2 linked regions of the Struthio camelus genome follow. The protein of the gene in region 2 purifies or fractionates together with the protein of the main gene of each other region. This does not show direct contact. Links are inferred from orthologs where the notes say so. Each region holds a gene or a part of one and is shown on either strand. Other genes may lie near its edges.

What was found.
Region 1: the proteins of FBXO45 (region 2) and MYCBP2 purify together in Homo sapiens (affinity purification with western blotting; 7 studies listed by BioGRID and IntAct, with this or other methods). This does not show direct contact. The link is inferred for Struthio camelus from reciprocal best matches to the Homo sapiens genes FBXO45 and MYCBP2.

Annotation. Positions count from the first base shown.
Region 1 is NC_090942.1:176,665,756-176,681,980, forward strand, and holds the start of MYCBP2 (E3 ubiquitin-protein ligase MYCBP2), read left to right. Parts: upstream 1-9,270; 5' UTR 9,271-9,461; coding exon 9,462-9,766; intron 9,767-16,225. UniProt on the Homo sapiens protein: Atypical E3 ubiquitin-protein ligase which specifically mediates ubiquitination of threonine and serine residues on target proteins, instead of ubiquitinating lysine residues.
Region 2 is NC_090950.1:2,492,341-2,508,102, forward strand, and holds FBXO45 (F-box/SPRY domain-containing protein 1), read left to right. Parts: upstream 1-8,028; coding exon 8,029-8,298; intron 8,299-8,489; coding exon 8,490-8,846; intron 8,847-10,885; coding exon 10,886-11,071; 3' UTR 11,072-13,544; downstream 13,545-15,762. Other genes in the region: WDR53 (WD repeat-containing protein 53), read right to left, coding at 1,462-2,049, 4,962-5,438. UniProt on the Homo sapiens protein: Component of E3 ubiquitin ligase complex consisting of FBXO45, MYCBP2 and SKP1. Functions in substrate recognition but also plays an important role in assembly of the complex.

The sequences.
Region 1 (16,225 bases), on a different chromosome or scaffold from region 2:
ACCAGTTCTGTTCTATGTTTTTCTTGAACAGGTAGTAACGGTGTTTTACCTTCACATTCATATAAAGTGTCCCACAACCTTTAGTGAATCCAATTATATAAATTGAATGGTTGTTCATATTTAGACAAGTTCTTAGCGTGCTTATATAAACAACTAACAATAAAACATAGTGACACTTTTCAATTTTGTTCATGATGTGCTAGGTGCAAACCTGTAGCATATGTTCTTAATGTGTTCTCCTTGCAGCATGAAAAATCTTTCTACCTGTTACACCTCATCCTTTTGCTGAGATAATTACATTTTCCTCCCACAATCATACAGATCATCTCACTCATACATCTTTCTTTCCCACTTGATTTATGAAGTACTCAATTTATTTTCATGCTCATTTTACAGCTAACAATGTGCTTTAATATTTTTCCTGTCTTTTCTGGAGTCAGCATAAACGTCAAAGAATACCAGCCTCTGATTTATTCTCATCAGATTTTGAAGGTAATTGTAACTTTCTAAAGCTCCTGATGACATCGTCATCTATCCATTGTGTTTCATCATTGTTGGAGACTTTCTAAAGAAGTTCACAGTTCTCAACAGTGCTGCTTATAAAGTCTCATTTTTGTTCAAGGGGACTGAGACACTCTCCTCTTACCCATTACTGAGTTCTCTATATGGCTTCCTTTTTTATATATATAATCAACAAATTACAACATATTAAGAATTTGTCTTTCTAGGCAGGTTGAGAAACATCTTTTGACAGCTGCTAACATAACACTGCAAAGTTCCTAACCTGTCCTGATCAAATTCCAGACATCTTTGTAGCGAAGAAATCAAACATAATCGTCGTGGCTCTCTGCATCCAAGCATAAAAGCTGCAGCACTATCCTCTGAAACTTATCTTGTTTGCTGGCATGTATGTTTGTGTATGATAGGCTCTGGGACGTATAAGAATATGAAAGATCTGCCTCTTTAAAACCGTTCCAAGTTGAGAATAATATTCAGCTCTACTGAACAGTAATAACAGTTCAGATCTGTCAGCTCAATTGACTGAGTATTCGACTACCAGTGCCAAATTCAAAGATAGTGTTCTATTCCAGTGCTGCTTGCAACAGTGGGAGTATCTGGGAGTATCATGAGTTGGTATATTGTTTGGGCCAAAGTAACATGCCTTGCTACTCAGAATAGTAACAGTCATAGGAGTGTGTCATCTTGGTGGTACAAGAAGTAATTAGAGCTGCTTGAGTTCAATTCCTAATTTCACTCTTTTCGGGGTATATTTTTCATTTAATTCCTGCATGTTTCTTGTAGTTTGCTAGCTTAGTGCACTGTGACACCATTTTATTTTCTTGTTAGAACTTGTAATGCAAGATACAAATGTGCTTGGGTTACTGAAATCCACACTTTCCCTGAGTTTGACAGTAAGAGAGAAAGAAACATGTCTTAGGCTGTTAACCGTATTTCCTCAAATTAATTCACTAGTTACACTAGAAGGTGCTGAAATATGACGTGCCTGGAATAAATTCAGTGTTGATGTCCTTGCACCAGTGAGCCACCAGCCTCGTGACTATGGTGCGCTTAGAAATATGAGACACTGAAGGAGTGACCAGTCAAAATTCACCCTGACTCATATACTCAGTTTGAACTAAGGGTTTCTCTTTCTTAAAACGTGTGAACAAGGGGGCTGTGACTGTTTTTTTTCCCTCCTCACATCTCAGGCACAGCTGTAATGTATTTAAGCAGTCTGCGCAAAATAGAACAACTTCAGCAAGAAATGAGAGAAAAATCACCACCATAACCTCCCCTTTAAGGTGACCAGAAGAGTTTTGAGGAAATGGAAGATATGGTTTAGAATATGGAAAATCTGTTTTCAAATCTATCTGTAGTAAGCATTAACATTAAACTAATCTTATGGAGCTAGACCACTTTCCTTGTGTGCTGCTACAAATGCCTGGAAAAGAAAATATTATTTTTGGGTTAAAAACATAATTTTCTTTTTTCATGGAGGTGAGAGAAATTGAAAAGCTCTCCCCACCTAATGTGAACGGATTCTTCTCTTGCACAGCTACTAAGCTGCAAAATCACATAGCCTTAGTTTGACGTATCTGTGTGTGTCTGTGCCTGTGTTGGAAGGAGGATGAGAGAAAAATTGCATCAATTTCACTCACTACTTGGTCTCCTGATTGGGCTGGAAAATAATCAAAAATGAGTCTAGCTAACAGAATTCAGTCACCCAGTACCAGGGCAGCTTATTTCTTAACTTTATGTTAAACTATCACCTCTATGAAGTAATTCACCGAAAGGCGGAGCACAATGCCTAAGCTCTATGGCAAAACACTGTGCCGGTAATGGTAATTATCCACATGTAACTTGATATACCTTCTGCAAAACACGTGAGTGATGAAAATAGTGTTGTTTTCCCCCTGCCCCTCCCTCCTTTGAATCAATACAGCTATGCATAAAAGTAACTTTTGCAAACTCACAGTTTGTAGTCTTTTCCCTCTAAAGCGATAGTCAGCATTATTTTAAGTAGCAGCTTGAAGTGTCTCTCTCTTGTTTGTTTGTCCGATATTACGGTAACGTCACCAGGCTGTGCTGCTAGTAATTCAAGTGTGTGTGATGGCATATGTGAGCCCATTCCCTGTATGCAGGAAAGTGTTCTGTCTTGCTTGGATTTATATGTTATCCAAGGAGAGAGGTCTGTCTGAACACCAAATAAGGTGCCATCTGAAGGACTAGTCAGGGAGGATAAATACAACATTTCACAGGCATACTCTTGAGTGGCACAATTAATTTGGGGATTCTATGGACTTGGGGGTGGCGTGTTTTTTAAGTCTTTTGTTTATTGCCTAATAAGCCACACAAGTTAATTTGGTAGTATTATATAAGGAGTTACTTCGCAATGGAAATAACCTTCCTTCAGTGGACCTAAGCCCGCTGTAAACAGAGAGAGGTAAACAGAGAGAAGTCAGTTCACAAGTCTGGGCAGTGAATTTGATGTATTATTAAACATGATAGCAGTCTTATAGGTGAGGATCTGTGCCCTATTTGCTTTGCAAACAGACTAGCAAAAAAAAAAGAATAGGGAACGGAAGAGGTGTGCTTCATATCAGAGACAAAAAAATAGAAGAAAATTGTATCTATAGATGTCAAACCATGTTAAGTCATAACATCTGAGACTTCACAGTCCTCAGAGGTGGTGTCTCCATGTAAATCATGCTACAGCTCTAAGAAAAAGTAAATAAAGGAAAAGAAAGCTTAAGTATAAGGTACAAAAATAATAGAATTTGGATTAATCTATACTGAAGAATGATCCGAGGGAAATGCTCTAAAGCAAAGCCTTCAAAACTGTCACAGGCACAGCCCCTGATGCTTCTAAACATAGGTAGGAGAGCAAAGACGTTCACAGAACAAGAATTTGGGGGAGGAAAGAGGGTAAAGTAAATAAACTCCTTGTTTTGAGTTGGAGGAATGGGATTGAGAAGGGGTAAGGAGAGGGGAAGCCAGCTGGATCCTAGATTCATTCCATACCCTATTAAGTCAGTAACAAGCCTCCAGAACAAAGATCCACCTCCTAATATACTACGAACATGTTACTAAAGCATATGAGAAACTACACTACCTCATGGTAGAATTAGCAAAATCCATACACTTGGATGCAGGCCATTTAGCATGGTAAGCTGTAGAGAGCATCCCATAAATAATGGCTGAGTAGGCTTTGGCCAAACACTTTCAAATATGTCAAAACACAAGTTGAAAGAGAAGTAGTGGGCTGCCTATTTGCTTTTGGTTTAACTGTTTATAATCTGCTCCCAGAAGTGTCAGGAATTGCCCTTGTTCTAGGGACCATCTGAAATGTGTTAACCCAGGGTTATTCTACTCAAGTAGAATAAAAGTTAAAAACACACCTATGGATGTGGAAATTTCTCACTGGCTGATTTAGTGATGTATATTGGTAAGGAAATCATCTCTCAATTGATTAATGTAGTAGTCTTTAGTACTTATAAGCCAATGAGGCAAAAAGCCTCCAAGAATAAAGTAGCTGGTGCAACAACGGGTATACGCATAATGCTCATTCATGGTCTAGTGACTGCAATGTGATGATTCAGATGTAGAAAGTGTGTGTTGTTTGACCTTACAGCTGAGAAGGTTGACTGAGCTACTCATATAATCAAAATCCTGTGAGTCTGTGTGTTTAAAAGAACCAAAATTAAAAGATTTAATTTAATTTATAATTGCTCAAGAAAATTATTTAAAGTAACTTACACTGTTAGTAAAAGTATGTCTGCATATAGATGTGTGGCATTTTAAGCAGTTGTACCCTATAACACTTTTTTGCTGTAACATCCTTTCACCTTCCTATCTAGACTTCCAAAACTTCCACTGACAAGTGAAAGTCCTACATATATCCCTGGCTCCCTGGCTCCCTGAGAATTTGAGATTCATGAATTTGAGATTGACCTATTTTATCCATTTGAGAAGACTCAATAATATCATTTCAGTCTTGTGTGAAAACATAATAGAAGGGGATATATAATCTTATCCCACTATTCTTTCTGGGATACTTAAGGTTATTGTTAGCAGATTAACTTGTTTGAGATGTTAAAAGAATTTTTTTCTCCCAAGCCAATAGAATGCAGGTGTGTTCTGTATCTTGTACAGGATGCAAGATTTACAGTCCCCACTGAAATGTTCCTCACATAGCTTCTGGCAGGACACTGGACTTCACCTAAGTGTTCTTTCTAATCCGTGTATCTATGGTAGGACTTCTGAATGGGATTAAATCTTACTCTGTATTCTATTTCCTTATCCTATACAACATGCTAATAAATTATTCCATGGGATCTAATCCCAACTACTCTTATTTACTGTAATGCTAGTCCTATCACCATGTTACAAGTAAAATGTTGGGGCATTTTTTGGGGGGGTGGGGGTGGGAGGGGTGATCTCACTACTGCACCTGAGGGAAGTCACTACCTTAACTTCAAGACTTGATATATATGGTACGTTATAAAACGTTTAAGACGATAGCTTTTACGCTGCAGGATTTTTTTGCATACTTTTAAGTGAGTTTCAAAGAAAAAAATTTAAAGAAAGGAATGTAGTGAATTAAAGGATAAACATCAGCAAAATAGAAAGTAAAAAAAGACAGACGTTGGAGAAGGGAGCTTTTGGACAGAAGGCTCTGTGGAATCTGTGACAGCCAGCATTCAAAATAAAAATGGTCATTTTTTTCCCCTTTAGCAGGTGTCTGTAATTAAGTTTAGGAAAACTTGACTTGTAAAATACATGAGCAAATACAGATATGAGGATTTGCTAAACTGGTTTTGAACATCTCAGTTTTATTTTTGTTTATATGTGCTTCATATAGACATTAAACATTGGGAAGTGTTAGAAGGTGTCACTGTTGGACCTGGAAAATAATCAGGTAGACAGGTACAAGCATCTCCATTGTAGGAATGGATAAGAAAGCATTTTCTCTAATGCGGAGAGAGCACAGTCCTACCCTGTCCTCTTTATAAATAATCTATTATTTATAATAATTTAATACATTAATTATAATTAATTATAAAAGGCACAGGATAGGAGCTATGTTGTAAAGTTCTTTTTTTCCTTTAAATATAATAAAATCTCAAAATAAATGCTGGCATTTAAAATATAAAAAGTTGTATATTTGTGAGCAAAATGATAAAACGGACTTTAGTTTTGTTGAAACTACAAAATGAAAAACGGTCCCTTTAACTAATCACATTAGCAGTGGAGCTGTAGGACTAGGTACTTAAACTTAGGTATCTCTTACCATGTCTTGTCTGCTTCACAAGACATCTTGATAATGACAGAACTTTAGTGACCAACAATTTTCTTTTTCACTGTTATTAGTTTAAGTCCCCATTCCTGGAGAAAATCTGAGAGCAAGAGGTAGCTGCTGCAGGTGAACAAAGAACTCTAAATAATAACCTGATTGTAGTAAATTGCAAGTTCTAGTGCAGAAGTGCTGAATTCTGTTCTTCACAACTCTCCCTGACTGCAGTTAACTATCTAGTTTACATATGTTGAAGTTATCTTATTCCAGACTCTGCTTGCTTTTGAAGAAATTACTATATTGTTTTTTTATGAGATTTTCAAAGTCTACACAACCAAGGCCTAGAAATATAATTCAAAAGTGAAAGGGTGAGATGCTGAAATCTTGGATGTTTGCCCTTTACATGCCATGATGTAGGAGAGGGGAGCTTTTGAATTACGTCAGAAATTCTTGTTCTGCTGTGTAGAAACTCATGTTAATACAACACTGATCAGTGTGAGCGGTGACAGTGAACGTGACCGGCCATCAGATTCTGACTCTGAAGGACTTCCGAACAATCTGTTCCTCTAAAACTAACTTATGAAGGTACGAAGTGGAGGCATTGAACTGCTAGAAACCCCACCTCAAGGCAAAAGGAAGAAGCTGACTGGAAAAGTATTTCATTCTGTAACAGCAAGCAGCAGATGATAGCAAAAAAGGAGGAGATGATTATTGTCAGAAGCAAGCACTTAATGCAAAGCACTTAATGGTTATTTTCATTTGACGGAAGTCATGTTTTGGCGGTACAATAAATTTATCTTTTAGGCATCTACTGCTGTATCAGATCTCCTGCACCTACATAAAGCAAAGGGCTAATCTGATGCACTTCGATTAACCAAAACTACCCTACTAGTTGTTTTAAACAAATATAAATCTGTAATCATTTCATCCCAGCTGCAGAAGTACTGGCAATACCAGTTCTGGGATAAAGCTGATCCAGATGTGTACTGTTGACTGTTTTTACATTGCATGGATCTGGTATTACCCAAATCAGTCTCAGAGAAAGAACATGAAATGTGAGTACTGTACCTCACACTTTAAAAAAAAAAGAGGAAGAGGAGAAAAAAAAGGGGGGGAGGGGCAAAGCACGTTCCTCATTGGAAGAACAAAAAAAGTGAAAATATTGCTGTGTTCCACAATAGCCTCACTAGGTGTCAATCATTTTTGTATTGCAAAAGCAAAAAGAGCTTGGAGATGGATGTATGGATGACCCAGAGTTACTCTTCCTCGGCAAACGCCAGCTGTATTGTCAAACATTATTGCTCATCATAGGCTGAAACTTAAAGGAGGACTGTACTCTGATCCTATGGATACTTAAAAAGATTCCTCCCCTAAAAAGCAAAAATACTTGAGATGAAAAACACACGTATAATAGTAGTTGCAGCTTGCAAAGAATACTGTTTGCCACACTGTGTGCAGCTCTGTACAACACAAGCCCAGACAACTTCTGGAGTTTGAAGCAATAAGCAAGAATTGCAATCAATTGCATCACTTCATAAAAGTGTGCCGGCGCTCTGCTTTTATGGCGCACACATTAAGAGAGCTACAATAACAGCATTAGTGCCGAAGAAGCATTCTGAGAGGACAATGCTACAGCAGAAGATAGCCAGCCAGCGCACACTTGGTGAGGGAAGAATTACTATTTGGATGTGAGAGAGGCAGCAGCTACAAGAACACCCCCAAATGATCTGAAACTTGCCTAACAGGAATGATTTTAGGTAGCTGCTGAAAGAGGTGCTAGAAACACTTAATAATTCCCAGAAGCAATACAATTTTTTGGTAGTTACCACCAGATGACATGCAGCATGGTTTCTTGTGGCTCCTCGTCTCACTGCTGGATTATCCTTTTCTGGTCTTTTTTTTATACACTACACTGTAAGAATTATGATTGAAGACTTTTTATGTAGTTAGTATTTTAATACCTCTCTTTGGCTGGACCCTGGTGCCTCTATCTGCATTTAGGCAGTAGCTTTTTCTTCAGTGATGGCACTAATTTGGCTGTCTCTCTGCTTCCTGGACAGCTGCCTTTTAGAAAACTTGTATGAATTCATTACTTTTGACATTCCATTTCTCTGCAAAGAGTACTTGAAATTTGGCTGGACTGTGTAATTATTGGTGGGCTATATGCAAGTTTAAAAAATGACACGTAATTCACCTGTATTTGCTGTTACGCAGGAAGGAAGTGTTGGAGAAAATATTTCTCTGTATTCAGCATCTACATCTTGCCAGGCTTTTTAGGCCCTCTTTTCAAAAGAGAAAATATGATAGCATGCATCTTCTTTGGCTGGTAGTTTTTCTGCAGACTGCAATCCAACCTGCATTTGGCATGCAGACTTAAAAACAGTATTTTTTTGTTTGCCCCCTTTTTTTTTGAAGTGTGCTGTCATCTGTACAGCTGAAGTTTTCAGCTCAGTACTGCCGTAGAAGGTGCGACCAACAGCTTCGAGCAGCAATGAAGGAGCAGGGACACAGGCGGCAGGGCTAAGATTAACATGGATGAAGAGCGAAATAGAAGACGAAGGGAATGCAAGAAGGTAGTCTAGAATTAAGAAGAACGTATAGGAAGATAGAGTAAAAGCATCTTGGAGCCAGCAAAGACAGCTTAAGGAAATTGAGGCCTAATGTAGCAATTGAATTATACAAGAGTGTATAAATCAGAAAAAGAGTGTTGTTCCTCGAAGGGGTCCCGGTCAGGCAGTGGACACAAAGCAGTCGCTGGCGGAGCAGGGCTCAGCTGCTGCGGCCACGCACCTGAGCGGCACGCGGCTGCCGCCCCGGCGCGGGGGCCTCGTGGCTAGGCCGCGAGGGCCACGGCTGCTGAGGTGGGGAGCGCGTGCCTCCTGCCCAAATACCGCGCGATGCCCAAGTAAAAGACAGAGCCCCTCTCCCCCCCTTTCAACACCCAGGGACGACAGCCGGGATGGGGGGGGCGAGGAGGCGCTGGGCCCGCCGGGCTGTGAAACGAACCCCCCGAGCGGCGCTGGCCTCGCCGTCCTCCGCCGCTAACGGCGGCACAGGCGCTCGCTAAGGCGGCGGGAGCTGCCGCGGCTGGGGGGGGGGGAGGGAAGCGCCAACGGCCGCCGGGCGGGCGGCGGCTCAAGCCAGCGCAGCAGGTGCCAGCGCCTGCCCGGCCCCGGATTTCCCGGGGGCCGCGCGGGGGGAGGAGGGGCGGGGCCGCACTGCGCATGCGCCCTCCGCCCCGCCTGGCACACGGCGGGAGGTGGGGCCGTGGCGGCGGCTGTGCGGCGGCGCTGACGAGAAACTCCGGCGGGGAAGCGGCAGCCGCTGGCCTCCGCCCCCTGCAGCGGGAGGAAGAAGCGAGCGGCCGCCTCCATCTCCTCCTCCTCCTCCCCCCCACCCCGGCCCCGCAGACGCGCGGTTCGGCCCGGCCTCCGGCGGGAGGGGGCCGCGGCCGGCTGTGCGCCCGGGGCGGGGCCCCAGAGCCGCGGCTGAGGGGAGGAGAGGGGGTACTCCCGCGCCCCCGGCCCCAGCCCGGGTGGATGAGCGGCCTCGAGGGCGGCGGCGGCCTCTCCATGGCTGGGCTCCGGCGGTGAAGGCAGCGGGAGCCGCCTGTGTCCGTGTCTCGCCGGGAGGCAACTTAGCCACCAGGGGGCGGGTGGGGAGGGGGATGAGCGCTGCAGCCGCCGCCGCCTCCTCCTCCTCCTCCTCTGCGGGAGCCGCCGTCGCCGCCTGCACCGGGGGCGAAGGCGGCTTCTTCTTCTTTTCCAGCGGCTCTGGTGCGGCGGGGCCCATGGGGCCCGAAGAGGGCTGTGGCGGCGGGCTTGGAGCCCTGCCTGGAGCCCTGGCGCCGCCGTCGCTGGGCTGCCGGGGCCGCTACCAGCTGCTGCTTTCGGGGAAGGCCCTGGCCGAAAGATACCGGAAGATTTACACGGCGGCGCTGAGCGACAGGGAGCTGGGGAGTCACCCGGGCAGGTAACGTGTGCCGATCTCCCTCCCGGGCGAGAGGGATGCGGCCGCTCCTACCCCGGGCTGGGGGAAGACCCTGCCGCCGGTGCCTCTCCCGTCTCCTGCCCTTCCTTGCCCTCCTCCGCTTCCCTGACATGCGGCGCAATGGCCTCTGCTGGGGATAACGTGGCCTTGGAAGGGGGGGGAGGGAGGGAGGGAGGGGGTGGTGATGTAACCCCGCTGCTCTCCGGGTACCATCCCCTGGCTGCCGCCGAGGCCCTGCCACTAGTTTGGCTGGCGGTGCCGTGCAGATGGCGCTGCCAACCCGTCCCCCCCCCCCCCCCCCCCGGCCAGTGCAGCAGTTACCTGTGCTTGTTTCCCCTCCCCCACCGCCGAGACTTGGGGCTAGATCACGCCCTTTTCGTGAAAGATAACCGTGTAAACTCCGCTCCTCCCATCCCTTTGCGGCCACCAAGGTAATAATTCATTTCCTCATAGTTTCCATGTTGAAATCCCGGGTAAACAACTAGCCCTATGGCCAGGCCTTGAGTCTCGCTGCTGTCAGGGTCTGGCGTGGCAAGTCTGAATCTTATGTTTTCTATTGAGACCTTTTGCTGCCTCCTTTGCACAGCACCTGCGTGTCCTCCTAGTGGGGCCATCCAAGTAAGCGGTCTTGCTGTTTTGCCTTATGTCAGAACAGCCTCTACCTGTCTCGCCTTATTCCTTGCGGTGATCTCCTCCTCTGCCCCCGTGTCGGCAGCCTAGGTATCCTCCAGCCTGCATGTCTTGCTACCCTGTGTCTGGAGAGGGACCACATCCCAGCTGTAGGCAGCTTTTTCCCCGGGTAGGAGGCGGGGGTGGGGGGGGAGAAAGGGTGTGTCATCCCTCCCCCTTCCCAGGACCTCAGACGGATGATGCACCCAGGGACTGCCTTTCTCACAAGCAGCTGCCCCGTCCTGCTTGCCAGTTTTCACCCTCCTCCATCCTCAGGCCTGAACAGGACCCGCAGGACCGTGCGGGTGCTTTTCCCCAGGGCTGCCTCGCTGCCTTCCCCCCGCCGGCCGTGACACGCTGGCTATCCCAGCGCAGCCCCAGCTGGGAGCCTGCCGCTTAAGGCTTTGCCGGAGAATCCCCCTGCCTCGCCGGCGGGGAGGAGGCCGCCGCAGGGGCGAAGGCGACAGCGAGGCGGGCGGCGGCGATAAAGGGCCGCCCGGCACGTGCTGGCGGGAGGGGCGGGGGCGCCCGGCGCGAGCCGCCTCCCTCCCCCCTCCTTCCCCCCCCCCCCCCCCGCCGCCGCCTAGGCGGCCGTTAGCGGGTGCCGCGCGCGGCCGAGGCGGCGGCCGTTGGCCCGCGGGGCCCGGCAGGCCGTTAACCCGCGGCGCGTGCAGCGCCCCGCCCAGGGCGGCGCTCCCGGGCCGTGGGGGGGGGGGGGTCGGCAAGGGGAAGGCGCCGGGCCGCGGGCTTGGCGGACGCTGAGTGACGGAGTGAAACGCGGCGCTGAGGGCGGGGTGAGGGGCTCGCAGCAGGAGCCCTGTCGCGGCGGCCGCTTTGTATGAGGGGGCCGACGGGTGGTGCTGCCTTGAGCCCTTTGGGGCTCGTCCCCCCCTCCGTGAGCGGTGCTCGAGTGCTCCCCGTTGTTTTCCTCTGGGGTTTGTTGAGGGCGTGGATGACATGAAAAGAGCACGTTCCCGTGTTTGCATCCTTTACTGGTATTAAGCTGTGGTGTGGGTGCCCTAGTCCCAGTATGAGTATTAAGTCACCGTTATTTGAAGTTTGCAAATGGTTGTAAAGCACTGGGTGGTTGTGGGGGGGAGGGGTTCTATTTTTTTCTTACTTTCTCCTTCTAGTTTCTTATATTATTTTACTCCTGCATGTATCCTTCTTGGTGGAGCAAATAACCCGTGTTATTCAAGTCACTCTGGAGAGAAAGGAACTTTCTCGTTTTGCTTTTCGCAAACGCAAAAAAAAGTGGACTTTTCAAACACAGGCATGTGGCATCTTTGCAATTACCTGATTCTGTTCAGAGTATGTGATAGGGAAACTAATTTCTTTGATTCGGTGCTTGTAAGAGTTTCCTTACTCTTATAATCTGTAGTTCAGTGCTCATACTTTTTTCTCTTAACTGCTCTTTTCCTACTCGGAGTCCTGTATTATGTAATCCTGCTACTGCAAACACTAAATGTAAGGAAACTTAAGCTTTAATCAACCGTGTGGTTTGTTCTAAGGTGTTCAGACATTTATCTGAACTTTACTTGTCTATATATTTTTTTAAAGTTTTGGATTTGTTGTGTTCTCGGTGTTTTTTTTTTGGTTTCAGGATAATTTAACTTGTATCTTTTCTACTTAACTGTTGTGGAAAATACTAGCTTTGAGTGTGTGTCAATTTTGATGTTTCTTTTAATTGACGTTCTTAAAACATTTGCCTCCAGGATAGCGTAGATTGCATTCTTCTTGGATCTGTTTGTTACTGAAACATTGTTATGGGAATGTCAACTAGAGTTGAAAGAGTGAAATTCAAAATTACTATATATCTTTCTTTTTGAAGGCTAGACTTCATCATATCTTGGCTACATTGTGTCATCTTAGAGCAGATCAAAGAAGCCAGAATCCTCTACAGAGGGAAAACAGAATATAGCAAGTGAAGAACAGCTAGTTTATGTTTGTGAATGTAGCCAGTCTGGACTGTTGAACTTCTAAGAGGATTAATATTTAATAATCAAATAGTTGTCCAATATCTCTTGATACTGACCTCCAAAGTCTATTGTATCATACTTTCTAAAGAGATGCTTTCAAGTAATTTGTGATTGCATCTAGGTATCACAGTAGATAACAATATCAGATGGATTAATTCAAGATTAAGACACTATAGGTTATAACATGCATCTTGATTTGGTTTTTGTCTAGGTGGAAAATTGAAGCCTCTAAAGCTCTCGTTAACAATGTTTGTGACTAGAAAAATATCTTGAAGTAGCTTAAAAATTAACTAATAAAATTCTTCCTGTGTTCAGAGGAAACTCTGTTTTGAGGAATGATAGTGTAACCTGTTTGTAGTATGTTGACACAGAGTTTTTGCTTCAAGCATGCAAAGTAACATTCCACCCTTACAATGGTGTGACCAATGCTTCAGGGAGCACTTTATCACAAACCTGACCTTGATTTTTATGAAGAACTAGAAAGCAGTATCAAAATGCCCATGCATAGACAAGGAAAATTAAACGTTGTGGGGATTACTTAGTGTCACATGTAAGATTAATTTCACATTTACAGAGTGTTTGTTTGAAAGTAGTAAGTATTACGTGTTGAATGGGATGTAACCATTGGCTTTAACAAAGAAGTAACAATGCTTTGCGTCCCTTATGTGGTACAGGCCATGATGTCATGAACACTTTTGTCTTTAAAAGAAACAGTTCCGTTCCTATGCTTGTTCCCCGCTCTGTGCTGATGTACTTATGTATGTAGCCTCTTGCAGTACCAGGTTAGAGACCTACTCTGGGTTAAAATTAACCCAGCAAACATGGTTTGTTTTAATCCAGATTAATTCCCCAATCTGGCTCACCTTGCAATTTTACCTGTGCTTGTGACAGCACGAGGGGAAGGGTTGCCCAGGAATTTATGTAGACAGGTGGGATGAGAGAAGCTGCTGCTTTTGTCACTAGTGTCAGCTTAATATGTTTATGAAAGGAAAGCAGAAAACAGTATCTGATCTTCTCATGTACAACCATCTTCGGTCAGATGACAACTTTAGGAGTATATTATAGTACTATTAACTGTTCAAAATTTGCTTGTCGAGATTTTTTTGAAAGATAAATCTAATTTGATTATACTTAATTTGTGATCTGTTTTGTGGCTGCTGAAGTAATTGAAAATGACTGGTAGTTGCATAATAGCTGGTATAGCCATGAAGGTCTGTAAAACACCAGCAGAAGGTATGAGCTCTGTTTAGAGGGCAAGTAAAACTTCATGTTATTGGAGTATTGTGTTTCTCCTGTGCTTGGTATTGAGTAGATGAAACTGCAAGTCTGCTCTATTGAAGCTAATCAAAGACAGATAACCATGTATTTTTAATGTTGAAAGTTGCTCATAGCTCAAAGAAGAAGGTCTCTCTCTCTCTCTTGTGCGCGCATAGTTCTGATATTTCTTATACTTATTACTAAAGATAATGCCGTCCTGCTGATAGTCTTCAAGTTCTTAATTTGTTCTTTACAAGAAGTTTGCTAGAAACGTGCTATCAATTATTTTAAAAATAGTAACCATTTAAAAATACAAATGATTTCTCTGGGTTACCTTTTTTGCCCATCCCTTCTTTATTAGACTTGCCTCTTTTAGTTTAAATTCTTCACAGGAGGAAAAACTTCTATCTGTATTCTGGGAAAAAACAAATCCAAAGTTGTGAAGTGGCTTGCCTTGAGAACAGGGAAAATTCCAGTGACGACTGGAATGTAGGATTTCTGCTATTGACCTTCTGCTTGTTTTTTCCAGCCATTTTGGCTGAAGAAGAAGCAGCCAACTTCTTCATACTTGGTGATAAAGGGAATTTTTGGAGGTAGGCCAACTCATCTGCACTCTTAGTGGTAAATTATGCATCTATTGGGGCAAACTGATCTCTAATTTAATGTTTATGCATTTCAGAGTTGACCCTAAATCTTCCCTTTGCTGAAAAATGCAGTATTGATTTGGCCCCGGAATGTTTTTAATGTTTACTTTTCGGAATTTCATTGGAGAAGGGCTACTGAACTACTTTTGCACTGCCAAGTTAATAAAAAAAATTTGTAGAAACAGTGTTTTGTGTTTAGATGTGTGAAGTTTGTGTTGATTTGGTTGTTAGTATACCAGAAAGCCTTAATTTCTTAAGATCTGCAGCCTTTACAAAGCTGTTAGCTGTTTTTGGTTTGAAATTTGCATTTTTTAAATGAAACTATAATTCCAGAAAACTTGGAAGCTTTTGTTTGAAAAGCTGAAGGTTATGTGTAAAGACTAATAAAATAAGGAGATGTTAGTGCTTCTTATGAAGTATTGTGTGTTGCATTGCCTCTCTCTTTATTTTTCTAAAATAAGATTTGCTGCTCTGTTTTTTTTTTTAATTCTAATGTTTTATAAACATTGTTTTACAAAAAAGAAGTTGAAGTTAGTCCGTGTGTAAACTTAAAACTATATTTTGTTGGACAATTGATGTGCTGTTGGGTCCTACATTAAGCTAACTTATGCTTCAGAAAAGACGATAAGAGTTGCTGTCTGCTTTAGACTTTTTGTTTGGAATATAATAGTATTTTGCTTGTTATTTAATCCCTGTTAACCCATAGCACAATAAACTATTAATCTCGTGCGTTTTAGTTATTTGTCAGTTTTTTCGTAGCTTTTATTTTAAAGGCACTGTAGTAGACACTTAGACTAAGTCTAACAGGGTTTCTATTCATGCGGTGTTAGCATAGAAAAAAACAGTTATAATGAAAGCTGGAAAGAAGCAAGTAAACTGCAAAATTATTAATAAATCAAGGAAATAGAATTCAGGATGGAAAACTGGGGCAAAAGTTTTTTAGATGTTTTTAAAAGGACAAACTGAGTTCTCATCATGAAATTGCTTGGAGAGGCTTAAGATATATGTCATTTGAGAAATTAGAAAACATGGAATCCATGAGGGGAGCATTCAGATTTTGTGGGTTGCTGGAAATGAACCTTCTTTTCATGAATACAGAGGTGGAAGTCTCATTAGAAGTCTAGTGATGCTAAAAGACACCTTTATCATCTTGTGTAGTCATTCATTCTTCTGTTTCTTATTTAGCAGGACAGTGTGCAGTTTAGGAAGGAATTAGTACATATGATGGAATCACGCTTTGTGTCTTTGTTGTTTACTAAATCATATATGAAGCTTTTGCCTTTCAGTCACAAGTTTGACTATAGGCTATGGCTAAAATTGAACAGAAGCTCCAGAAGGGCTGTCAAACTGGTCTTTTTAGCTAAGGGGGTGTGGTTGTAGGTCAAGTACCAGCAGCTATTATATACTGTTAATTACATTACATGACTATATACTGTTAATTAATGACATTCGGGATCTTTACTTGTGGAGAAAGAAAACAATTAGGTGCAGAACATATCAGTTTGTTACCGAATTATTTGTATCGGTACCCTGACCATTTCACTATAATGTCTTGATTATTGTTGGTTAAGCCTTTTTTAGTGTTTTAGTAATATGGTAATTACCTCCGGAAGTGTCTTTCTAGCGTGACAACTAATGATGGTGGTAGATTGCTGCATCTTTTCCTACTCCCGTTACTGGCTCTTGAGTTGCAGCTTTGGCATTTGTGTAGATACTTTTCAAGCATGGATATGCACTTATGTCATTTTCCTTTATTGCTAGATGAATCCTTGATGTTTGTCAATCTCTTGATGTTGTTGCCACCTTTAAGGATCTTGCTGGCTTAGCATGCTCTGAAGTACTGCGTTTAATGTGCCTTAAACTTTGAGATGGTTTGTCCTTTATAAATATTG
Region 2 (15,762 bases):
CTGGTATTAGAGACTGCATAAGCAAATTTCTTTTTAAGTAAAATTAGATTTGGATGAGAATGACAAGTTGTACTGGCTTGCTGGGAATTACTTCTGACAATGAAGTACAGCAAAAACAAGGCTGTTTGTTAGAATGTCTTCCATAATGGTTGAACAGCCAGTGCTACTGGCTAATTATTTGCAGGAGCTGGGTACACAAAGGCCTGGAAATTTGTTCCATCAAAAATAAAAAAAAGGTAGGTAACGTGTGACTGGTAACATAAATACTGAAGACAGCACACAGACAAATGAATTAAAACAGCAATTTAACCAGTACAACGCATTCACTCTTTGCCTGTAAGAAGCTCAGGACAGCCTGAGAAAATAAGCTTTTTTTCTTTTAATTATCTGCCCATTGCATGGGAAATTTAGCATGAATTAAGCATGTCAAGATCTGAGGCATTCCCACTTTTTACATTTTTCCTGCCTTTAACTTGCAAATTAAGAAGCATTTCTAACAAGCCATAAGGGCCTAATGCTACTTGTTGTATTTAGAACAGCTTTGTGAAACAATGGAAGTATTTGGGTAAGGAAGAGCAGTGCATTTGGCCCTTTCCATTTACTCTGTGATGACTATAAAATCTACTTTGTGGTACAATTTTGCTTAGCCCGTAAGATTGGTAATACCAGCGTGAGCATGAGCTCAAGGGTGCAGTGAAAGATCAAGCATTTATTGAGACAAATGCAATAGTTATTTTTCTCTCCTGGAGTAAATAACATTTTTGAAAGCAAATTACATGTGTAAGATGACTGACCAAGTAAACACTTGTTAACATTTTCTCCAGTTCCTTTGCTTACAGGGTGAAAAAAAATCCAACTGACAGTGACTGTTACAGGGATTTGATTACTCATTAGAGAAGTTAATTTACAAATGTGTTTTTAGTCTTAAAGGCACCCACTGACAAATTAACGAAAAATACACTGTGTCCAATTTAAGCTAACTGTGACACAGTTTAATAGGGAAGGTAAAGTAAAGCACTGAAATAGTTCAGACTCCCTGTACAAATGCAAGGAGCTCAGCCAGTTACATCTTTATTACTGCTCAGCATCCTAATTTAGTATTGTGGGTTTCCCTGTTGAAGTGAATTTCTTCCTCCAATCTTAATTATATCCGGTCAGTTTTGAACTAATATTTTCCCAAATCTATTGAAACCAGTTTCACTTAAATTTAAGACGCAAATTGCCAACTCTACCAGAAAATTTTGAGGTGAATACTAGCCACTGGAAAATACCATGCAAGGTCAGTTAACATCATAAGTATTTGCATGAAATAACACAGCAAATCTCTTGCCATTCCTGAGGCTACAGGAGGTTTCATTGTTCAGTTCACTGTCAGCAGATGTAGCTGACAGTTTGAAACTGTCATTTCAAACACCCTAGGAAATGATTCTTCACCACAAATTTCCTTAAACATTTCAGCACCTAGGCTTCTGGTAATGGATACACAGATATAGAACTACTCTGATCAGCAACTAATACTCTCTTAGAGCCTTTGATCTCTGTACAGGAGATCCAGTTCACCTTCTCTCCATGTTCAATGGTTAGCTTTGGTAAAATTCTAGCATGTTCATTTGAAACCATTTTGTTGGGCTTTCCCTCTTTTTTGGTGGAAGTAGGTGCTTGGGCCTTCTTTCTCTGGAGAGATTTTGCCGGGCTTTTCTGTTGTTTCCCAACACCACTGCTGACATCCCAGAGCAAGACTTTCCCGTCATTTCCTCCAGTCAGCAGCCAATATGCTTCTGGCATAAAAAGGACCTGTGACACTCCCAAACTGTGACCTTTAAATCCTAACTCATGTTCAAACTTAACACCGGTGACCCTGAAGATTCTGACTTTACCATCTTGAGCTCCACAACCAAAGATGTTGCCACATGATGCGACAGACAGGGAATGTGCAAGTGGCGGGTTAAGGAAGTGGCCAGCTGTCTGTGGATTGGCTTCATCCATTTCACAGTCCTGCAAGTTTGTGGTGCACAGTGGACGAGCCTTCTGCAGGTTCCACAGCATAACCTTAAAAAAATTAAGAATTAATGGTCTGTCAACGCAGCGTCTGATTCCTAAGTAAAATCAGATTTTTTCACTAATGGTAAAAGAAATAAGTTATTGCTCTAGCAGATCAAAGACTCTGTACTGAGAGGGCAAGAGATGCAAGATCTGTTGTGAGAAGTGGTTGAACCCCACTGGATAAATAAAGCAAATCTTTATGGCACACTTTCCAAACTGTCACATGCCTTTCCCAATAGAGTTAATGACTCAAACCTTTAGAATGTGAAATGAGTGAAAAAGCTGTTCTAAATGCTTTTGCATTCATCTCAGTAGTAGAAATCATTATATATGGTACTTCTTAATTATTTAAAGAGAAGGGACACAAAAACGTTATCAGTGAATGAAGAGAGCTGTATCATTCTGAATTTTAGGTCTGTCTCTGTTACATACTTGTTCTAAGATAATCAATTAACTTGTTTGAAAAATGAAGCAGCAAAAGGCTAACAGTAGTTCATTCCCTCAATTCTGTACAAATATATGTGTGTCTTTTATAGACAATGGGCAGATCTAGTTGGTGTTATTACTGTATTAGGGCTGAGCACACTTTTCCTGATAAGATATGGAGCTGATGGAGGGGGTTTTAGACTTCCTTTTAAAATGCCACACCACCTTCAGGACCCTCCTGAGGCAATAACTGTGCCTTCAAATGCGCCCTGTGTCTGTTATACAGGTATTCAAGTATTATAGATTTATACTGCATCAGTTAAAACATGACCAGTCATTATTTACAAAAATTACAAATATTATTTATAATAATCTGAATTGATGATTAGCATTTTTAGAACCAACAGATATGGAAGCATAAGTCAGTCTTTAATGCATCATTGATGTACTGTTTGCTTTTCTAATGAGAGTTTTGATCTGTCATTAATAAACATATTCTACCACTAGGCATCTGTAACAGCACTTTTACTTTAGTACCCAAGTCTTTAAATTGGGGCCACAAAAAGAGTCATTCTGGATCTGAATTTACAGAAGCCAAATTACATAGACACATCCAAAATATATTAGTTATTTGCTGTCATTTTTGTGTTTGAGCACTCACTGTTGCAGCTACGGTAAAACTGCTTTGCTCCTAACGAAAGGGAAAACATTCCATGATGACTCGGCAGCATAGAGCAAATTAGAGAGGCCGGGTCTAATGCTTAAGGCAAACAGTCCCATTCTCATCTTTGATAGCGCTGCAAGAGCTTTAGCAAATACATCTGGATTAAGTGGTAAAGCACCCAAACAGTAACAAGCTTTCTGAAAAGCAAGTATCTTACTTATTACAGCTCAGCTTCTCTGTGAAATGGTATATCCTAAAGACAGCCTTGATGTCTGTAGAAATGCTCTTTTCATTGTACAAAAATGCTCATAAATGTCTACTATTTTGGGGGTACTGACTTTCACGTAAAACCTAATTTGCCTATAGTAAAACACACTACAACTAAAAATGTCACAGAAAATAACTAGTTTTCTCACGCTGAAATCTGATATAAATGATTAAAATTCTGATAAAAAGTTTCTAGCCATAGGCTTGTGAATTGGCACGTAGGGTACCTGAAAATACATAACCATTTTAAGGTGCCAAGCATTTACTGCTCTCAAACTGATATTTTGGTATCTCTGAAAAAGAAGTTTCCCAAAGTACTTCATTTAAGATTCTATATCCATCTTTTAGCCAACTGTGTTTGAAGATCTGTCAAAGTCAAAATTTGGAAAACTTCTATTAATCAGCCTCTATTCAACTATATCTACTTACTGAATTTATATAAACCCTGGTCTTAATATGGAAAAATATCACCTATATCAAAATGCATTCACCCTAACTGATGTCAGAGGTACTTTAGTTTTAAGAACACAGGATGAAATTGCTTACAGCTGTCAAAGAAAAATCCATCTTTAACACCACTAAAATCACGGAAACCTTTGGAGAACTGGTAGTTCTAATCTCAGGTATTTTTCTTCTATTGGACACCTTAAGAGGAATCCGTAAAACGGTGTTCTGAAACAGAGAAGACTGCTTATGTCTTTGCAATATTGCATTCTCATCAGATGGAAACTGGATTTTGCAGTGCTTGGTGGTCTCCAGTGAACTGTGCAGACAAGAAGGGGAAAAACAACACCCAAGCATTTCCCCACTCTACAACAGGAAAGTGGTCACACGTCAACCACGGGGAAGTAATTACAAAAAAAAATCTGCTTTGGGTGATATTGGGTGCCAACTTTGACAGTGTAACTCAACATTCCACTAACTCTAGCATGGTTCAGTGTTTCTTCTAAAAATGCTCTTTAGGAGCACGCAAATGACAAAATTTCCACTTGAGGAAGGTAAAAAGGAAAAGTACATTTAACACTTTCAAGATGATACTGTGAACAAAGGATAAAAAATAAATTTATAAAAATAACTTTAATCCTTACAGTGGTACATACCACTTGGATAGATATTTATCTATCTATATTAAAGTATTCTTGCTAGCACCTTGTCAGCTTCAAGTATTTTGCATTTTCCTAACTACCATCAAAATTTTGTTTGCAGCCGTAATTGATCGCTAGAGACAGCCTGTGTTTTTGCTCTGTGAAACAGAGAGGTGATGCAGTTGCCCCATCTTCTGATGCCCTCCCCCTCACTTCTATATTGTAACTATTAATGAAGACAAAAATCGCAAGACTAACTGCTGAGCAGAAAACAGCATTAATAGTCTCAACACTGTTAGCTTCTCTGCCAAAACTACTTTAGGAAAGTTAAAGAGCTTTCCACTGGCTGCAGGCTGTACGACTCTCCCTCTTGTTCTGTGGAAGTGTGGTGAAAGTGTGTTGGGGCCTCACTACACACACGTGTAGTTTCTGTTTAGCTTCTCTAATAACCATATGTCTACTTTTATGCAAATCACCTGCATGTCCAGTCCACAGGAAAGAAGGCTTTGTGGCCTCTGAGGTCGAAAGACAACAGAGGAGCAGATATTTGAGTGTCTCAAGGACCGGCTGACTTTCTTGTTTTCTAAGTCTATAATCTTTATTGTCCCAGAATCATCTGCTGCAGCCAAGAAATTGTCAGTCTCGTTCACTGAAAGGCAACTGATCTCCTCCTCGTTCACTTGGAAGCATTCAGTAGGCTCCTTAAGAGATCGAACATCCAGCAAACTGATAGTTTCTCCATGGGAAGTGTACAGCCTGGTAGGACAGGTGGGAGAGAACACAACAGAGGTAACATCATCTGCCTTACAAAGCTGGAGCTGTCCTACTGGAATGCCTTTTCCATCCCAGATGGTGAGCTCGCCTCTTTCTGCTCCTGAAGCTACCAGCCCTTCCTTGTTTATGTTCAGGCACAGTATAGAGGAGGAATGCCCATCAGTCCATTTGACTGCCATATTTCAGGGCCACCTGTGAAACAAACAAACGGAAAACTGAATTGAGCTGGAGTTGTTCTCATTACGATGTAAAGCTTACCTAAGAAGTGAGATTATTGGGTTGACTCAGTCACACACACCAGATGAAACTCTAGTGTCCAGTGAAAACAGACACCTCTATAGGTAAGTACCCAGGTGGAAGCTTTGGCTCAAGCATTATCAACAGACTACATCAGCAACAACATAATGGGTTGGTAGAAGTGATCGCATATGTGCTTGTGAAGGACATGAATTAGATCTGCTGCTCTGAAGTAGCTACCTAAGTGGGGGTTGCTTTCTCTGCCATTTCTTTGCAGTGAATATGGATATAGTGTGTCTGACGAACTAGGGGCACAGTTTCAAGGGGGGCTTACTGGAAAGGAGAAAGGGGAAGATTGTTACAGTTTGCAGAGAAGTCCTACTGTTCCAGTCTGTGTGAGGGCAACCACATATGAACATACCTTTTATCCAGGTATGGATATGCTAGATAATCAATATCCAACATTAATTTGTAAAGCAACCTTGTAATACCTGGAGTAAAAAAACTTGTGCTGGTGAAAGGGGGATAAACTGATTAATGCTGAAGTGACTACTTTAATTATGGTTTAAAAGCATACATTAGTATGAATAAATTTTAAACTGTTTTGCATGTGTACTTCGTGTTCCCAAACTGAAGTTAATTCTCACTTGACTGGTAAACACTAAAGCATATTTGCCTAAACAGACATACAGTAACACAAGGTGTGTTTGAAAAAAATATCAGCAGTTTAACAAAAGTAGTTACACTGTTTACTGCACATTTACTAGGGTCTTAAAGCAGCATACATTCAGCTTACTGTGCTCCTGGCCCTTTCCTGTGCACTAGCCCATGATAAGACAGTTTAGGGAGCCATGCCAGCAGAAAATGAAATGGGGCGGGGGGAAGGAGGAAGGGAGGGAGAAAAGCAACACAAAAACACAGCAGGTTTGAGCTTGCTTAGCTCCCTGAACCAGCTCACAAGGGCAAAGGAGAGCTAGTACCTGTGCAAGGGAGTAGACACAACATGGGGTTTGCAGGATGGAACTACGGCTGGATGCCAGTGAGCTTAAGTTACCATAGAGCATACTGTAACATTTACCTTTTTATTACATCAGAAAGCAATGAGTGAAGTACTCCTTTTTGTACTATGCTACTTTTTTTGTGTATGTAATTTTTATTCAGCTGGATTTGAAGAGTAGTTAAAATTGATTCTATCCACCGACAGAATTTCAATCTTCTTGATTAAATGAAATTACCCAAAGTGCCAGCTATGTTGTTAGCAAATGATGTTCCTGTATTCAGGAAGTTGAGAAAATTATTTCTGGTTACCCTCTCCCACACTGTGGGACCTAGTACATCTCACTGATATATCTAGTTTCTGGCTTTACAGGAAGAAAACCTTCTCCCAGTTGGTTTCTCAGCTTTTGAATAAACGAGTTATTGAAATAGAATTAGCTCATAATACAGTTAAAAATATGTTTGTATGGCTAGATAAAAGTACTGCTGTCAGTGGCTGTTCCACTGTTACAAGAAACTCTGCTTGCAGTTGCTTACACAGCAAGTTTAGTAAGTTAAAGTTTCAACAGTAAATACTGTGCTCACTGATTCTCTAACTCAATGCTTTTAATTATTTTAGGCCATTAATATAGGTTGACTGCTTAAAGGTAATACATTTTAAAAGGTGTATTTGAATCCAATGCCAGTCCTATTTATTTTAATGCAGTTGTATTCGTGTAGGGGCTCGCAGGGTTCCTGTACTACCAAGTCTGACACCCTGACACTGCCACAAGCAGAAGGAAAGAAAAACGGGGGGGGGGGGGGGCTGTAACCAGAACGAAGGAAGGAGCGTAGAGAGGAAACACCGGAGGATGCTGGGGAAACGCCAAGTCAGGGCAAGCGGAACGACGGGCAGCTGGGCGAGCCGCAGTGCCCGCGGCACGGGGGCGCGCCCCGCCTCGCCTCACCTCACCTCACCTCAGGGGCAACGGCCCCCGCGGCCGCGCGCAGGGCCGCACGGAGAGCGCGTCACGGCCAGACCGAGGGACTCAGAGCGCGGTCTTATTTTAAAAGCCGCCGGCTGGCGTTTCCAGTCACAGAAACTGCGGCGCTCTGCCTCGCGGTGCGGGAAAAGCCACCGGCCGGGCGCGGCCGCGCCGCCCCCAACCGCCGCGCAGGCCTCGCAGCCCCTTCCGCGCGGCGCCCTCACCTCCACCGGCCGCTCCCGCGCCCCGCCCCGCCCCGCGCATGCGCGGCCGCGGCCTCCGGCGGCGCTGCCCGCAGCCGTTATGGCGGCGCCGAGCGCGCGCGTCCCCTCCCCGTGAGGCCTGTGGCGGCGGCGGCGGCGGCAGAGCGGGGCGGGCGCTGGCGGCCGGCGCGCCTGCGGCCCGGGGCCCGCCGCCGCGCTCCGCCGCCCGCCCGCGCTTGCGGCCAGCGAAGCGGGGCGAGCCCGTCGTTTCCCGCCCCCTGCCCCGCGCTGTCGGCTCGCGCGAGGCCGGCCGGCGCGGCGCGGCCCTCGAGCCCCGGGCCCGGCGGGGGGCGCCGCCGCCTGAGGCGATGGCGGCGGGCGGCGCGGGCGGCGGCGGCGCGGCGGCGGCGCTGGCGGGGGGAGCGGGGTGGCGGCTGCCGGGGCGGGTGCTGGAGCTGGTGTTCTCCTACCTGGAGCTGCGGGAGCTGCGGAGCTGCGCCCTGGTCTGCAAGCTGTGGCACCGCGTCCTCCACGGCGACGAGAACAGCGAGGTGTGGCGCAGCCTGGCGGCCCGCTGCCTGGCGGAGGAGGCGCTGCGCACCGACATCCTCTGCAACGTGCCCACCTACAAGGGCAAGGTGGGTCGGCGGGGGAGCCGCGGGGCCTCCGCGGCCTGGGCTGGGCTGCGGGCCGTTGTGCGCCCCGCGTTAGGAGCCGGGCGGGGGGCGGGGGGGAAGACGGTCGATATTGCCCTGCCAGCGGCACCGCTAGAAGGGTTTGGATTGTCCCTTCCTGCCTGAACGCCCTCTCCCTTCCCCTTCTCTGCTAGGTACGTGCCTTTCACCACGCCTTTAGCACCAACGATTGCTCCAGGAACGTCTACATCAAGAAGAACGGCTTCACTTTGCACCGCAACCCCATCGCTCAGAGCACGGATGGGGCAAGGACCAAGATCGGCTTCAGCGAGGGCCGCCACGCGTGGGAAGTGTGGTGGGAGGGCCCGCTGGGCACCGTGGCTGTCATCGGCATTGCCACGAAGCGGGCTGCCATGCAGTGCCAGGGCTACGTGGCACTACTGGGGAGCGATGACCAGAGCTGGGGCTGGAATTTGGTGGACAATAATTTACTGCATAATGGAGAAGTGAACGGCAGTTTCCCTCAGTGCAATAACGCACCGAAATACCAGGTGGGTGAGACTTGGCGCAGGCTGGGAGCTTTACTGTCTCGAACAGCAGCTGTCCTCCAAGAATTTCTTCATAGCATGTAGTAGTTAGCTGCTTGCTGAATTGGTCTTAAGTGGTCATCTAGAGCAAAACGGTCCCTGCAGGAGGTAAATGATGGTGCCGTACAAGGGGTTTCCCCCTTAATGTTTCCTTCGATTATGTCTGTGTGTAATGTTCAGTACAACTCATTCTCTGTTGTTTCCCCTACTGAAGACAACAAATAAACTTTTATTTCAAATATGAAGTGAGGAACACACACTATGGGTGCTTATCTAAAGACAATTGCTTTTTGAAAAAGAAGCTGACGAGGCCATTCTGGCTATCTTAAGTAAAGATTTTGCCTGTCAGTGATATGACTGTGTGTGTGGTAGCTGTGTTATCTTTTTGTTACCCTGCAGTGGGAGTTGAAGTTAGTGCTTAGGTAAGAGTTTTCCTGCAAGAAAATGCAGTAATGCCGAGTGCTGTTTGTTTGCTCCCTGGCACTGTTCCTAAAGGTGACATCTTTAGGCTGGGATGTGATGTTCAGATAAATAGATGTTATTAAAGAGGAAGTGCCATTCTGTCTTTTTGTCCATATCAAAGTGGTTTACCTTTGCTCTCTTGGCCATCTGCACGATGGTTTGACTGCTAGATTTCCTCACGTTACAACTTCAGCCATGCGCAGTATAATGCCTGACTCATAATATCGAAGGTTTTGTACGAATGTTGACTCCAAAGCAGCTTGTATTTCAGTTGTGGGTGAAGATTTGCTTAGGAACTTGTATCTGATGTTCCTAAATTTCACATAAAGGCTCGCTGCCAAGCACTTGATCTGATTTGGTCTGAAGCTTGTACCTGCCATTTTTGCAAACAAAACCTAAAATGAGTGTTTTTAAAGAGATTTAGTTTGCTTTCTATTTGCATGTTTTTTAACATGCAAGTGCACTTTCCAGACTTGACCGTTTGTGGTCATTTTCTGCTGTCTGTATCTAGGCCTTTATGCAGCCACAGGGCAAGAAAAAGTTTTAGAGCCAGGAGAACTCTCATGTGGACTCGAGGGAGAACAGGTCTTGCACTTGCTTTTTTCTTTTTAAAAGTTGGTTAGAGCTCAGATTGGTGATCCTTTAAAGTACTTTATATGCAGTAAAACAAGCACAGTGAGCTGCTTGTATATAATACACTAAAAGTAACTATATGTTTGCTGGTGTTGGAAGAAAAATGTGTTGTTTTGAAGAAAATGCCAACGTTGCAGTTGGCTTGTGGAGAATCAGAAGTTTGTGCTGTATCATGTTGTGCTTGCTGCTGGTGTCTGTGACTTACCTTTACATTTGAAAAATATGTAGTAGGTGAATGCTGGGAGCATTGTGTATGTTGTGATCTGATTATCTTACTGCATTCAGTGTTCTTTTCATTCGTGTGTATATATATATTTAGGTTTTTCATACTTAATTTACCTAGGCTTTGCACTGTAATTTCTTTCTGCCCTTTCTACCAAGGAATCCCTCTGACGATGACAGTACTTGTATAGTCAGTAAAATATTCTGGTATAGTTTGTATGTTGCGCTTACCTGTTTTTAAACAGGTTCATTGTCTTTTAAAATTGCTCAGCACGGACATTACTGGTCAGTGATAGCAACCAAATGCAGGGTTTGGGTAACTTTGGGTGGAGGCCGTTACAAAACTTCCCCAAGCTGCAGAATTCTGAAGTAAATGGCATATGTTATGCTAACTCTCAGTGCTATTGTGATGTTCTGATGCAAAGGGCTACGTTTGTTACTCTGGTGGTTAGATATAGGTTGCCTATTGGAAACTGCCAGTACAGATGCTCAGAATCTTACGTGTATCAGTGAAATGGAGAAGTTCCACGGAAAAAGTAGTGCAATCTTGAGAAACAGGAAAACCTCCCTTTGAGGTGATCTGCTGTACTGTACACGGGCTTTGCTTTATTTTTCATGTCTCTATTTGAATATGTTGACTTTTTCTTTTGTTTTATTTTTCTTCCTCTTCTTATTTCTGTTTCCAGATAGGTGAAAGGATTCGAGTTATCCTGGACATGGAAGACAAAACGTTAGCGTTTGAGAGGGGCTATGAGTTTTTGGGAGTTGCATTCAGAGGACTGCCAAAAGTTTGCCTGTATCCAGCAGTGTCTGCTGTGTATGGTAACACGGAAGTGACTTTGGTGTACCTGGGAAAACCTCTGGATGGATGATGTGGATTGTTTCATTGGGACATCAAGATGTGAATGATTCGGAGGAGAAATCTGCACGTTGATTAGAGGGAAAAGTGAACTAGAAAAAAAAAAAGTGTGGGTTTGTGTCCAAGAACCATCAAGGAAACCATACAGAATTTTGAAATGGAGGACCAGCCATACTTCAGGAATTGTGTCACATTTCCTCTTTCTACCAGGCCAGACATATCCTCAGGGTTGCAGTTGGTTGAGTGGGAAGCTGACACATGCATGTTGCAACAGATTTCATTGCTGAGATGGCAGTGTGTGACCTCAAATATTTAAGGAAGGATTTGATATAAAACTACTTGAGGAAATTAACCTGAGATTTGTAAGTAGCGTGTTTTGTGAAAGACTCCCATTTTAAAACTGCTTGTTCCTTCCCTTCCTTCCTTTGGGCTGGCACAGGTACCAGAGGAGAGTAGGTCTAGTTGGATTTTATTTACAGTTTTTAATATACTGAGAAGCATGGTCTATCTGGACTGCCCTTCTCCAGTAGAATGATATAAAATGTGTGCAGCTATTTTTAAGTGTATTTTAAAGGTTGTATATATAGAACATGTTGAAAAGAACAATTAAAACGGAAGAATTTGCTTTATTCTAACTGGGATATAACTTCTTAAAGGGGGGAAAAAAAAACCCCACTACGTGGCATCAGAAAAACCTCAGACAGGTATATAACATTCATGTAAGGATACTTCTTCTGTTGTATTGTGAAGCATTTTGGGATGCTCTTGTGGAGTAAGGTGCTACATTGGCCCATTTTTGCCTAGCTGAAAGTTTCCATAGCTTTAGCAGTATATTTGTTCTCTGTAAGAAACACAAGAAAATTTCACTATGAGTTTCTTCTCGCCAAAATTTGTGGTCCCTTTTAAGAGTGAAAGGTACAACACTGTAATGAGCTGATCTTCCTTTTGACACCAAAAAATACATATTTTTAAAAGAAATCTTACGCTTTCTAATCACTGTTGTAAAATGAGACTTTCAAAATGATGAAAAATCCACATTCAGCTTCTGAGCTGAGATCTTATTTTCAATTTAATCAGTTTCATAAGGATTTAAGACTTGACTTAACCTAACTTAATTTTGCTTCTTTAGTTAAATAAAATCCCAAGTATTCATCTGCCCATTTTCAGTCAGGACTATTAAAATTCTCACTTCCCTCTGGAGATTCTGGATCAGGTTCAGCATTTGGGATTTTCATTTGCACTGTTTCTCTAAAAACTTCTTACAAAACCAACTGATATGTCAGTGTTACGGCATTCAGCAAGTAGGCTGAAAAGGCTGTGAAGCTTAAGGGTATAGTAAAGAGGTACTTTTTGGTGAAACAGCATTCCTTTGAGGTTGAAAGGTCTGTGGAGATATGGATGTTTGTCAGCCTTCACGCAAAGAAAGCTAATTTAGCCCCCGAAGTGGGTTTCCTTTTAATAGGGCACTGAAATCTGTAAGGCCTGTGGTTAGTTTTTGACTCTCATTTCTTGTTGTTGGTGTTTCTCCAAGTTCAATAGAACTATCTGAACTGTTTCAGAATTACTGATGGCGTGTTTTTTAGGGAGGGAGAAGGAAATGTTTATGCAACCTCTTTTTGTTTTATCTATGCTAGAGAATGTGAATTGCTTAATATCAAACACTGATAAATCTCTGAGTGCAGGAGAGAAGGGAATTTCTCTTAGGTTGCTCATTTTTTCCCCATTACTCAAGTAATGTAAGGAAAGTGGTACAAGCAGATGACTGGGATTCTTAGTCTGCTGCTGAAGAACTACACTTGGGGTGCTTTTTACCTAACAGATAGTGAAGTTCTGCACTGGAGCAGAGTATGTACATTATTACCATTTTAAAGGATTTTAAAGTATTTATTTATGTGTAGTTTATTCCTTAAAGGCAATATCTGCTGAGATCAGTTTCTCTTGTCTGTGTTCAAAAAAGTAAATACACAGGAAGAAATGAAGATGTTTTAAATGGTACTGAGAACAACTAAATAAATGAAGTGAGACTGGTATATGAGTACCTTTTGGAAAAATCTGTTTAAAATGTTGATGTCTGTAGACCGTAAAGTATGTATCTACATAGCAGAACCTGGTGGCATGAGGTAGGAAAAAAGGAAGCAAAACCCTGTCCCATAACAGAGAAGAAAATAATCTCTTAGGTGAATGTATTCTTCGTGCAGTCTTGAAAAACACGACCTCTGCACTTGCTAATGAATCCGAGTACATGTAAATAAAACCCTGAGAACTTCTGAGGGGTTTAATTTGTGAATAAAGATTTCTTTCCAGTCTTCAAATTGTGTCTTACCCTATAAATAATTTCCCTCTAAATTAGAAATGGTGGAAGCTAAACATTCCTTCCTTAAGGGTGGGTTTGGGGGGGGCTCACTTATGTAAGATTAAATTTATTACTGGAGACCAATGCTAGCTGTACAAAATATTAAAATAAACTGCTATAATTCAGAAGGAAATATTTGTGTGATTGTTGTAATGACATTCATGATGTATTGATAGGAAAAATGGAGTAGTAATTTGGTGTGTCAAAACAAATTCTTACCATCAAGAAGATGAAGGTGTTACTGTGTGATTTGCTGCATGAGTGTTCACAAGGAGAGAATCTGGCTAATGGTTATGAGGACTTAAACTCAGTAGTCTAATAACAGTCCTTATGAAATTACATTTTCTGAAACAGGAATGCTCCTGTGTGACAGGAGGGGGAGGGGTAAGAGCTAGCAGCTGGAGGTATCTTGATTCAAATTACCTATCATGAGTTTGCACTACCCTACTGCTGTGTGCAGTGCCTTCTGTCCGAGGACAAGTTCTCAGCTTCTCTGTGTTGAGCTTTCAGTAGGGAGGTTCCGTGTTCCTCAGTACTTCACAGAGGATGTAGGGATTCTGGAATGAAAAAGGGATTTTACCCCCCAGTTACAAGATCCAAGATGAGCGGTGCTGTTTAATGAAAATAAAAGGTATTTTGATATCAGACTTTCTCCACACAATCAGAGCATTGAGGACTGCAGAAATGTTTTGAGAGTTTTGTTCTTTCAGAAAGTCATGAAAGGGATGTGTTCGCTCACACTGTCAGCATTCTTTCAAATTCGGGCCGCTTGCGCTTGAAGCTAGTCTGTTTATGAGAATATTACTGACTAACACTTCCGCTGGATTGGTCGAGTATTTCATTATTCAGCATTACATAGATACGCTTACTTGAAACTTGATTTCTGACTTTTTTCTCACCATCCTTAAAAATTACTGTGAGAGAGGCAGCAGACTTGAATATGAACAATTCAAGGTAGTTTTACTACTAGATCCAATTTAACCCTTCTCCATCCGTATTTCTTTTTAAATGGCCTTACTTCATTAAGCTTGTTACGTGTTCCATATGTGTGGATTTATTCAATTGGAATAAAGTCAAGAATCTTGTCAAACCAGGCACTCCTTTGCTTGCAGATTTTTCTACTTGGTAAAATGTTTTGAGGCCATCTCTGTTCATCTTCCATACTTTGGGACTAGATTACTTAGTAGAAAACAGATGGTAAGATTACCACTGAAAGAACATTGTCTCTGGAAGGCCAAGTCCGTAGCTGCCTTCAGAATAATTCATCCTGTTTTTGTGGCTGGGATAGGACGATCATTTGTATCAGCAATGTCTCTTGGGTAATTTTGAGCTGAGGGTACATGCTGAAGCAGTTCTGCAACTGGTACAGAGATTTCTGAGTAATCTGAATGCCTAGATGTGGAAGAGGGAAGGCAGCAAGGTCTTGTAGCCTGCCCAACCCCATTCTGCAGCGGAGAGCTGGGACTCAGACGCAGTTCTCATCTCTCATCTGTGAGCTATGCCCAGTATGCTTCTTCCCTACACCTCTCCTAGGCTGGTCTCTTTTAGCTATTGATTATACAAATATTTTGGTATAACGAGGATTTTGTGGGTGTAAGATTCATTATGTGGAAAGTCAAGAAGAATGGTCCCCCTGTGCTAAGGTATTGCTGTTCAGGCTTTTTTTTTTCCCCCCCCTTCCCTTTGGGACCTTCCCAGTCTTCTCTCTTTCACCTTAAGAATGCTAGAAGCTGTAAAGAGCAGAGAATATGTGCCTGCTTACACGGCTTATGTGATGCTTCCACAAATGTTGTCTTAGCTTTTGCTAGGCTGTGTTGGTTTCAGACTGTTTGCTCTGTTCTGGATAGGTTCTTAGACTTTGCTCATCCAGTGTATTTCTAGTGCTGCATTAAGCAGCGTGGCTTACTTCTGTGCCCTGCTTTGTTTTCCTCGTTCCTGCACAGCAAAAGCATGTAGTGGAGCATTTTGTTTTGGCAGGATTTAAATATGCATGTTCTGATGTAGATATGGGACAGGAATGGGAGCAGAGAAGCGTTAGGGAAATACCATTTTCTGCCTTGGATATAAATGGTAAGGTGTGTGCTGTTCCTGAATTCAGGGAGAGAATCGGTCCACTCTTTGACAGGTCCTAGAGGCTCTGTTTTCTGTATGGATGAATTTTACCCTTGTGATATCAAGTTTTGTTTTGCCAGAGGAATTCAATTGCAAATTTAATTCCGGGGCTTCATGCAATTTGTGGGCATAGTTCAGACAAAGATAGTAACTTTGTTTGACCTAAAATTAGATGGGATCCTGCAGAGACATCTGAGAGAAAGCAGATGTGTGCTTGGTAGCTTGTGTGGGTGAGAAAT